Drosophila melanogaster: one gene and its partners. The protein of the gene in region 3 interacts with the protein of the main gene of each other region in a pairwise test. Each region holds a gene or a part of one and is shown on either strand. Other genes may lie near its edges.

Region 1 (3,462 bases), on a different chromosome or scaffold from region 3:
AGCGTGTACATATTCAAAATTGATGAGCGAAAATAATTTTATGATTTGGTATACATTCAACGGTTTCCTCGAAACGAAAAACCATTTGAATAATATTTGTAGCATATCTTCCAGCTAACAGGTTGTGTGCAATCAATTGAGTGAATCAAATCAGCTGAAACTTCAATAGCTTGCAACAAAGTATTATTTTGGTGGTGGATGGGGGATACAAATTCGCACTTGTTGTTGCCAAACACGTGCAGCGATTTAGCACGCATTACATTACAATGCGGCTCCGTTTCAAGAGCACCTGTTGCCAGCGGCGGCGGAAAATGTGTGGAAAATTTGTATGGAAAATGGGGGAAAACGCGAAGCAACCACTCGAGGAGTAGAATCAGCTCAAAAGCTGGGCGTGTGCTCCACTTGGAACACAAAAGGAAAACAAAAAGAAAAACGTGCGTGGAAATTCCCGCTATCTGTGCCCCCTTTTTCGGTTCAGCGAAGGTGAACATATCGATTTCTGATTTAGCCACTTTGTTATGCTAATTTCCCCGGCTTTCCCGTCCTCGATTTTCCTCTGTTATTCTTTTTTTTCAGCGTCCTGCTCCTGTGTTGACAATTTCGATGAGCGCGTGTCGCGCATTTGGCAACCCAAATTTAATTGGCAACCCGTGCGGGAATTTCGCCTGTTTACGACAGATTCTGGACCAGATTTTATGGTAGCAATTCCATGCACACGTTTGCCCACTTTTGGGCGACTTGGAGGCGATGCACAAGACGCGGCCAACTTTTGGGCTTTTCCACGGCTAATTGAGAGCAACGAAAATGGCTTTGTTGGCGGCGGTAATAAATCGACTTTTAACTGGCGTGTGATATTTTGGCATTTATATTTCGGCAACGGCCATCAATCAGAGTCATAAGGCATAAAAAGGTGCCTGGAACGTGATCGCAATGGGTTTCTTGCAGCTCTTGCCACTTGCTTGCTTTTTTTTTTTTTGTCTTATATTTTATACTTTTTTGCAGCTGGTGGCGGCGGCAGTAAAAGTTGCTGCAGTGTAGCGCGTGCATTCGTAAATGTGATCCATGGCTTTGGGCGAATGAAGTGCACATGATAATGGCTTCTGAGGTGGAAGAGTTTAAGATGTTGATCCGAAGAGAGGGGTGTGTTAAGGTGCATATCTTATATCTGAGGAATTTATTTAGAAGATGTCTGAAATAATACATATGCTTATTAATTTTAACACCATCTATCCGACTACAGCAATTCTGAATTGGAATCTAATAAAAAATAAGATTGGATAGGTTGACTTCTTGACTTCAAACGGAGTCACAAAAGCATTCACATCTTTACTTTACTGATTCGGAGTTCTTAAACTGTTAACAATTTTTTTTTTTTCGGTAAAGTGTGAAGTTATACCTTCCACCTTAATTACCTCATTTGAAGTTTTGACCACCGACTTGTGGTTCGTACTTCCACCGAATTTCGCCTGCGGATGGGGCATTGCAAAACTTGTCGCATGCATTTGCCGCACGATTCGCTTGTCGATTGCACGTCGTGCGCAGATCCCTTAATGGAGTTTTTACCTTTCGGCTCCTCTAGTTTCCAGACCCCTCCTCCACTCCTCCTCCACCTACTCCTCCACCCACTAAATCAGCATAACTCGGATCGTGGTATATATAAACCTGCAATGGTCAGCCAAAATCGATTCATTTCGTGTGAAAGTGTCGCGGAGAAGTGACTTAATACGGAAATCGAAAACGGAAGAAAGCATAACGGGTGAAAATGTTAAATATTTCAAAAGCAAGTGAATCGAAAGTGACTTTTAACTGAAAAATAATAGTTTATCTTTATATATAGATACCTTTGATATGTGTTCTGATGTGTTTTGGTGCTCCAGCGCTTGGAAGTTTCCATCATGAACCATCGACGGTGGGCGTTCCCGTGGGAGTTCCAGTCCCAGTGCCAGTTCCTGTGCCTTCTCCATATCCGGTTCCATCTCCAGTGGCGGTACCTGCTCCAGTAGCAGTACCCGTTTCCGATACCGTCACCGTGCCAGCGGCCTTTAGTGCCCATCAAGGATTTGCGTACGGAGCTGTCGATCACTATGGTCCACCACCTCCGGCGATCTTTAAATATGCTACAACCTATGCGGCACCACAGCCAGTTATTAAGTACTCCCTTGGAGCTCCAGTGACCACTACCACCACCACCTACACCGGATTTGCAGCACCACCACCACCAGCCGTTCATTATGCTGCAGCAGCTCCACCACCACCACAGTTCATAGCCCGGTTTGCTCCTCCACCCACTGGCTATCAGTTTGCAGCTGCTGCCCCGTCATATGGCAGGTACAAGCTCCACTTTGGGTCACCACCTCATCATTCTCCGGCCGCCGTTTATGGAGCTCCCCCTCCTGTAGCATTTAGCACTCAGGGCTGGTAACTCGAGAAGCGCCAGCTGGGCTCTGGCTCATCATGCATAACTATGAATGATAATTTCCTCAAATTAGCAATTAATTAAATCTAAATAATGTTGTTATGTTTCGTATTATACGCGACTGGTGAATTTATGCGAAGAACGCGAAGCGTAGCGATTAAATTATGCTTATGTCAATACCCATAAATAATTCAGATGTTTTCATGGCTCGAAGTTATTTTTTGGCTCAGCCAATTTTGGCCAAAGGCGAGGCTTGACTTTGAGAGGGCCCAGAAAAATGAATAAATAATATAAATTTGCCGCTATTAAAGCTATGACTACGGATCAACTGACCTAAGTCAATGAATGAAAGAGGGAAATAGCGGAGCCATCCGTCAATTGGGTCAACAGTTTAAACTTTAAAGAGCCTTTGAGTTCACAGATAGACAGCTTGATTACACTACAAATATTGTTATTAAACAAATAAATCAAGTAAATTGTGTATTTCCGTATTTAAGTTTGAATACTAATATATTTGGGTGGCGGCTTAACATTTAGATTTAATGTTTAAGAAGACAGAACTGTATTTGTCCACTTTTTGGATATTAATTGGATCTTGTTATCTTGAATTAGAATACATAAGTATTTTCTTAGATACCTACATCTATAAGTCAATAAATCAAGCTATTACACTATAAACAGCACATTAGCTAAATTACTAGAAGTACAAGAACGCTATAGTCGAGTTCTTCGACTATAAGATACCCACTACTCATCTAGTGGGCGAACGAAATAGAAATTTTAACATTTTCTGTTGGCAAATCAATGTTAGTAAAATGAAAAAAAAAAAATGAATAAGTAAGTTTCTGGGTGTAATATTAAATTAATATATCTGAATTTTAAATAAAAACAGGAAAAGTTCCTCCCTTTTCTTTCAGTGTAAACCTCATTCGGATCCGCATTTATTGTGAGTGTATTTTACTATCTAAAGGTCTACGAGTAACGGGTATAATAATAATAAATTTGTATTTAACATTAATTCCGATAGTGAAAAGTGGCTCCCCATT
Region 2 (4,799 bases), on a different chromosome or scaffold from region 3:
GCTGGATGTCCTGGACCTGTCCAGGAACAAGATCACCGATGTGCCCGCCGATGTGGGCGGACTGTTTGTGACCGAACTGAACCTTAACCAGAACCAAATATCCTCGCTGGCGGAGGAAGTAGCCGATTGTCCCAAGCTGAAGACACTGCGGCTCGAGGAGAACTGCCTTCAGGCAGCGGCCTTTACACCCAAGATCCTCAAGGACTCGAAAATCTGCAACCTGGCCGTCGACGGCAATCTGTTCAACTCGAAACAGTTCACCGATCTCGATGGCTACGATGTCTACATGGAGCGGTATACGGCGGTCAGGAAGAAGATGTTCTAGACTCGATTCAGATCAAATCCCTTTTTTTTTTGTGTGTACCCCAGCCTTTATTTATCCGAGTAAACTAATTTAATAGCTTAATTCAATATGTGTAATGTGTAAAACGATACGAATAAATCGGAAAAAGACAACTTTAACAAGGGCGAGCAAGTAAGTTAGTTTGAAAATGGTAAGTGCAAAATAACAAACAATTGCGAAATCCTATTTCCTTTATTAAAAAAAAATGTTATGATTCAACTTCAATACAAAAATTAGTGAATAACATATACGTATGTAGAAAACAAAAGACCAGCCCCACATCACAGCTTTCCCCGCATCATGGGCAACAAGTGGTTGTGGAAGGACGAGTTGACCGGCTCCTGGTTGATCGGATTTCGGCGTGCCTCCTCCATGAGACGCTCGTACACCCGGCCATCGTGACACCCCAGCGTGGAGCCCAGGACACGATCGTGAAAATCGAATCCATCCACCAGAGCCACCGCATTGGGTCGCAGCTTGGCCAGCAGCTCCTCAAAGCGACGCTCCACGAAGCGCAGTTGGGTGCCAGTGATGCCGTTGTTCCAACGCAGCACGCATCCCGACTGTCGCAGGAATGTATCGATGACGAAAAGCTCAACCAGTTGGCCCAAGATGAGTGAGACATTCGGGCTAAGATCGCCCTTCTTTCGAAGTGCTTCCACTTGCTCCAGTGCATTGCGTGTGAAGAATGCGTGAGCATGGGCTATGGCAGCCGAGGTGAGCTGCCTTCCAGCCAGATTGCTGGCCATCTCGGGACTCACCTTGCCGGATTGGTGCATCTTCTGGGTCTGCCAAGCATCACGCACCTGCTCCATGGCTGAAATCTCCAGCGCTCGCACACAATTCGCAACCAGATTCTTGCCCCAAATCAAACGGGCTGTATCCCTCAAATAGGAGACACTGGAGGGCAGCACCTTGCGTTTTAAGCTATCCGCATACTGCCGGACGAGGAAACGAGCTGTCTGGAGCAGGAGTACTGTGTACTCTCCCTCGTAGGTGTATGTGGCGGCGGTCAGACCATAGATGCTATCGAAATTCGCCGAGGAAAGGAATCCGTGGCCACCGCAACTCTTGCGCAGCAGATCAACTCCCTCGCTGGCCTCGTCGGTGGCCACCGCCTTGAGGCAGCAGCTCAGGGCGTGCAGCTCCGGCAGGGAGTTGCGTCCTTTCGTGCTTTCATCCTCCAGTTGGCGGAGTACGTCCTCGTAGAAGCGCCACAGCCAATCGGATACCAGGCGATAGGACACTCCTCGAGCAATTTGCGGTAGAATCTTTGCCTGCTGTGTGATGTGATCCAAAACAGAGACCTCCGGCTGATCGCTGTTAATCCGGCTCTGGCGACGCACCACGGAATACCTAAAGATAATGATAATTATTATCTAAAGAACCCTGGGTGAGCTGAATGTGTTTTATGGGCTTAATAACAGCTATGATAAACATAATCCCCAGAAACTATATAATCACCTGGTGGCAATGGTGGCAGCCTGGAGCAGTCCAAAGAGCACATCCTTCACGGTAATTACCCGCACATAGACCATTGTGCCGTAGAGCAGCAGCGGAGGTCTACCCTGGACGAAGGTGCCGTCGGTCAGGACTTGGGCGTTCTTCATCAGCATTTGATTGCGCGGTATCCGCACGTCGCGGAGTCCCAGAAAGCCGTTGTTAACGCCATTGCCACCCAGGCGAGGTCCTATATCGCCCACATCGACTCCAGTCAACGGTTCGTGTGTCCTCTCGTCCCTGATCCTCACCACAAATGATTGCAAGCCATAATGCTTGCCCTTCACATATAGCTGGGCCAGCACAATGGCCACATTGGCGGTATTACCAAGTCCGCCGGGCCACCACTTGTATGAACTTTGCGTTGGGGTGTTCAGGATGAATTCCTGCGTGATGGGATCGTAGTCGGCTCGGGTTTCCAGGCCCCGGACAAAGGTGCCGTGACCCAGCTCCGTTTGCGCATAGGTGCCCAGGACGCCGTCCATGTGCCAGGATCGATTGAGCCACTGGGCCTGCTGCTCCTCGGTTCCCTGGCTCAGCAAGGTGGTCATGAACATGGAGAAATGCACCCGAAGGGGGAAGCTCTGCTGGAAGAGGCCCGTGCCCAGGGATCCGGAGAGTAGCAGCCGAAAGTCCCTCAGCATATTCACACTAAGCTGAAGTTGTGGCTGCTTCTCCCGCTGCCATTGGCGCAGTTTGGCCAGGAAGCGTGTGGATCGGGCCACGGTCTGTTCGTAGCGCTCCTTGTATGACAGACAGCTCGGATGCACTGGCTCCGCGAAGTCGGGATCCTCATAGAAACGCCTTTCCAGGGCGCGGCGCTCCTCCAGCTGCCCAGAGCCACCCGCCCACCAGCGGGCAAAGTCCTCGCTGTCCAAGGTGGCCGCCGCCCGCTCTCTCTGCAGATCCGCATTCACAGACATGATCGCTCTATCTCTCCTTCCCGATCTCTCTTTTCCTAGAGTTTTACTTTTCTACGGGATTTCCCAACTTCTCTGCTCGAACGACTCGATTGCACTGAGAAGTTGGTGGCTGGAAGAAACAGTTCTGCAGCTCGAAACATGGCAGCCAGGTCACCAAAGGCGGGGATAGCAGGGGAATATGGTTGGTTATCAGTGATCCGAAATTAAAGATGAGTTGCCAATTAATATACCGGGATTCTTTATACATTTACCACATTATACTCATAAAGGATGCAGTGTATAAGCTATTTATGGATAACTTATACAGAAGAGGCGATCTGGAACCCCTTTGGATGGTCCATCCTGCCTACGCCTTTGGAGCCCCACCACTGCCTCTCTTTCGCGCTCTGCCCGCTGGTGCTCCAACCGCCGTTGTTGCTGCATTGGAGTCACTGAACTGAGAACTGAGCCACTCTCAAATTGCTTGAGCGCCTTAGGGTGGACCATATTCCGTATTTGTCGAAAGTTTCTCAAACTGCGTCTTTCTTACAAGATGCACTTATCATGTTTTAGATTTCGTATCCTAGGTTGTATATTTGGACGGAATTTGTTTCTTACTATTAACTCAAACGCTGATTTGTGTGTTGGTCCACCCTAGCCAAAAATGGCACAAAGTGCGTAAACATCTGATGAGCGGCATTATCTCCTAGTTTTTTAGTTCAAGTTTTTTTTACCGTAGATAAGAAAATCGTAAATATTTCTTGTTGTTTTTGTTTTGCAAAAACCCACAAAGCTCAACAAACAATTATTTCTTTTTCGTACAATAACATTTTTATTTCGTGGATTTCTTGTTATCAACATAACGTTTCTCAATTGGATGACGTTTAGAAAATCTAAGATAACCCTATGGGCCATTGTCAAATTGTTTATAAATAGAAACTAAAAGACATGGAAAGAGCGATTTTATTTATATAAATAAATAAATATATTATTATACATACGAGCTTCTGCAACCTGGATTTTAGGACAAATTCTCAATTTAAATTTCCCGCTCTTCAAGAATGCAACATAAAATATAAAAAAACACTGGCCATTTTAATAACTATAAAGAGTAATTATTATAATATTATTGATGTGCCAAAAATGCAACGTGAATTACAATTTATTTTACAAGAAAACATAAGTTTTGTAATAAAAAAAAGCTTAGGAGTACCCCTATTAAAAAGTTTTCAGCATAAAAGCTCGTCGAATGTGTGACCAATTGTCGGAGTAATTTAGTGGCGCCCGACGAATGGCCACACTGCCGGCCAGCTGATCGCCCGCGTGCAGATTTCTCGACTTTATTTTCCTTATTTGGCTGTTGTTGTTTTGGGCCGCCGGTACCGCTTAGCTTTCTGTCTTCCTCTCTCTCTGTCTTTCTCTCTCGCTCCCACCAACGGCACCGCCATGGGTAAGAACACGAAGCGCAACAAGAAGACAAAACAGCAGCAACAGCAGCCACAACAAAACGGAGTAACTGCATCCGCATCCGGCACAGCAGTCGAGGATTTTGAGGACCAGCAGGCGGCCAGTTCGTTGCCCAGTTTAAACGGCAAAAAGAGGAGCCAACTAAACAAGCTCGTCGAGGAACTGCTTGACTTGGTGGAAAAGCAACCGGCGAATCCCAACGAGGAATGGAAGCAGTACGGGCAGCTACAGGAGCTGCTCAAACAAATCATGATCCTGGAGGAGCCACTCAGCCAAGCAGTGTGTCCGCAGATCAGCGATTCCCCCGACGATCAGACCCGTCTGGCCAAAGTGGAGGCGTTCAGTGCGTGGGCCAAAGATGGCGGAGTTCACAGTGAGGGACTGGAGATAGCCATCTTTCCCGGCTACCAACTGGGTCTGCGGGCCACCCGACCGTTGGCCAAGGATGAGCTGGTGCTCAGCGTGCCCCGGAAGCTCATCTTATCCGAGGAAAACAACTCCGATTGCCGCCTATTTGGCAAAATGACGCAGGCCACCCACTTGAACCTGGCCTATGATCTGGTCATCGAGAAGATCCGTGGCGAGTT
Region 3 (3,246 bases):
TTTGGGAGCGAAAGCAGATGTAAAACTTCTGGCAAAGAAAAAATGCCATGGCAAAAACAAAAAAAAAGAGGGGGAAAAAATATGAATGAGGCAGCCTTCTAGGCAAATGTGTTCAACATGGGGTAACACTGTGGGTGTGCTAGCTGGTTTTTCCACTCTTTGGCTTTGAAAAGGGGGCCAGAAAAAAACAACGCTGGCCAGAAAGTTAAAAGGTGGCCCAGGGGCCCATGCGACACATGGCCGAAGCATATAGAGAAATGTGGGTCGGGAACACGTGGCGGCCATAACTGGTGCCGACTTCATCGATATTTCATTTAACCCTTTAATAAAAGATATGCCCGGCTAACTTACTTCATAACTTGTCGCCGCCTTCGCTCTCCGTGCTCCATTTCGATTTTCCCAGGCGGTTAAGAAGTTTTCGAGAAAAGTTTAAGGAGCCTCCGAATCTAGCCGCTGGCAAATTGAAATTGATTACAAAAGCAAAACAATTGAGCGATATGTATTTTGTGGCGATGAAACGGAGGGGTTGGGAAACAATCCGAAATGTTTATTTATACCAGGCATTTTGGGTTCGATCGGTGCCCATTTGCATAAGCGACCGACCAGCTTATTACACAATTTAATATGGAAATGACGCGGCGCGAACTTGAACCTCATTTTCAACGGCAGTACAGCTCAGCTGGCTTTCAGCTTGTGCTCCGCCGATTTGCGCTGTTTGCGTATGTAGGTCTTGCAGTAGAAGTCGAAGAACATGGAGAACATGAAGATGTTCTGAATGAAGCCGATGAAGGCGATGAACACGGGAAACTGACACGGATTCCGGACAATAACGAGCAGGAAATGAAAGGTGAGGTAGCCAAACTGCATCAGCTGCAGCTGTGTAATCCGCTGCTTCCACCACAAAAGATTCTTCACCGCGCCTAATGAGGCGGCATAGTAGTAGGCATACATCACCGTGTGCACCAGGAGATTGATTATACCCAGCATGCTGCAGTGTGATCCACCCAGGAAGGTCATGAAGATGGACACGCCGAAGACCATGCCGCCATGGTGATACACGTGCAGGAAGCTCACCTGCGAGTTCTTCTTGCGCAGCACTATGAATACCTGGGAATGCATTTGTATATGGGTATAGAAGGTATATAGACGGTATATAGCCCCCAACTAACCGTGTCGAGCAGATCCAGATACTTGAGCATGTAGTACGCATACGAGGCGTACAATGTCTTCATCATGGCCGGTGATCTGTCCGTGTGATCCACTGGCTGGCAGGTCCAACTGTATCCCGGCTGGAGGTAGGTGTTGCTCAGGCCAATGACGAATATCGTGGCATTGGCCAGCACCTGCACCACATTGTACACCTGCATCACACGTTTCAGCTCAAAGGGAGCACGGTTCGCCATCCAACGTGGTCCGTAGTGGAGCACAAAGGCCACATACAGCGCCACAATGGCCAGCACGATCCATAGATTGCCCAGCAGGGGCAAGTGCGCCACTCGGGGATCTCCGTGCTCGGCGTACAGATCCCTGACCAGGCAGTACAGGTAGGCCACCATGTTGTGCCGCATTCTGGATCCTCGATTCAAAAATACTCCCTGCCGAACTGCCGGAAAGCGATTTGCAGTCCACGAGACACGAGGGTCTTCAGTCTTCTGAACGGAACTGCTCGAAAGCACAGTCTATCCAAGCATTCCGGCTGGCTATGTTAATGACCGTTAAATGAGAAGCACCACGCATACCGGATTAACCCGTGTCAGGCGTTGCACTGCCAGAGAGATTCTCGTTCTTTGTCGCCGGTTTATAAACTTGGAACTGCTTTGGGTTTACGCTCAAAAAACACTGAAGGAAAACGGGGCATAAAACCACACTTTCAAGATCAAGTGCCGATCATCTTTTCCATAGTTGAAATTTCTTAAAAGACCTAAGCAATCTCACTATGAAAAGAAATTGGTTATCTCTTTTCTAAAAAAGTTGTGACCAAATTGTGCCACATTTTTTCTTTATCTCTATGAACTTGTGCCTGTCAGGGGGTAAACAGGGTTTAGCTATTACTTGACAATGTATGAGAATTTATGGGCTATAACCAGCCGCTACGGAAACTTTGCTGAGTGGGAAAAAATGATGCTCCAGCGGGCAAATGTTGGTGGCGGTGGGTGGTGCGGGCTGTTAGCTGCGGTCGATGGGTGGTGACATCAATTTGGGTTACTCAACGTTAATCGTTTGGCTCGCAGCTTGCGGCTGCGAGATATATGCAACTAACCCAGTTTACAAAGCATGCCAATAAATTTGCAGCATAACTGCCAATATAAGCGCAACTGTTTTGAAATTAAGCCAAAAGCGAAGTGAAGGAAAAGCGGAAAAATGGCGGTAACGTCAGCTGCAGCATCTAGTATCCGGCATCCCGAATCCAGTTCACCAACATTCACCATCCAGTGACCCACTGAGCGACTCCGCCATGCTTGATAAATTCGCCAAGTCTGTACAATGGCTGTAAATAGCCGCGGGCATCGGACAAATGGCTCTTAAAAACAACAGCAAGAGCAGCGGGAGCTGGAGGAGCTAGATGAACTGGAAGAGGAGCTGGAGATCGCAGTCGAGCCAACTCAGCGAAATAGGCAAAAGTGTTTTACGACCTGGCTTGCAGCGCAAACCGAGGGCCATGCAAAGGAGCAAAGGAGCAAAGTAGCAAAGGAGATGGGCTGCAGGTGGCTAATCAACCTGAAGCAGGTGCAATTTGTTTGCGCAACGTGCAAACTTGGCAAGCATTTTGTGGTCGAAAGTTTACAGTTAAGGAGCTTCAGTTTATTTCGATAAGTAAATGTGCCAATTTATAGAGGAGAATCAATCAAGGATCTGTACGAAAAGTTTACCTTATTGGCTATTAAACAAGGCCAGGTGGGCTAAGTTGGGCGAGGCCATTTCACTTACTTTCACTCGCGTGTCCTTAAGCCGCAAGTGATGCGATATGTGTACAGCCCACACACACACACACACACTCACATGTGAATAAGAGTGTCCTTGGGGCTCCTGCGGTGACCTTGTTGTGCGGCAGACATTGAGCCAGCCAGCGCCAAAACAATCATTTGCATTTCACCTCCCCACGGACAATGTAATGGACGTCAGCTCATTTGCACAAATAAGCCATAACCGTCGCACGTTCCCCTCCGATTGGCGGCCATTTTCGGAGTTACAGGACGACAGGACGATGGGACTTCAGGAGCGAGGAGCCGCTGCCAGTGGCGTTGC

Evidence for each region. Proteins that work in one complex are often made in the same cells at the same time.
Region 1: the proteins of CG6660 (region 3) and CG13045 interact in a two-hybrid assay, tested with the Drosophila melanogaster proteins (one large-scale study listed by BioGRID).
Region 2: the proteins of CG6660 (region 3) and CG4586 interact in a two-hybrid assay, tested with the Drosophila melanogaster proteins (one large-scale study listed by BioGRID).

What each region holds. Positions count from the first base shown.
Region 1 is NT_037436.4:16,289,194-16,292,655, reverse strand, and holds CG13045 (uncharacterized protein), read left to right. Parts: upstream 1-1,705; 5' UTR 1,706-1,780; intron 1,781-1,837; 5' UTR 1,838-1,858; coding exon 1,859-2,422; 3' UTR 2,423-2,944; downstream 2,945-3,462.
Region 2 is NC_004354.4:6,967,985-6,972,783, reverse strand, and holds CG4586 (uncharacterized protein), read right to left. Parts: upstream 2,867-4,799; 5' UTR 2,767-2,866; coding exon 1,808-2,766; intron 1,700-1,807; coding exon 625-1,699; 3' UTR 519-624; downstream 1-518. Other genes in the region: CG3040 (uncharacterized protein), read left to right, coding at 1-325; Setd3 (SET domain containing 3), read left to right, coding at 4,192-4,799.
Region 3 is NT_033777.3:22,921,781-22,925,026, reverse strand, and holds CG6660 (uncharacterized protein), read right to left. Parts: upstream 1,676-3,246; 5' UTR 1,557-1,675; coding exon 1,170-1,556; intron 1,108-1,169; coding exon 676-1,107; 3' UTR 502-675; downstream 1-501.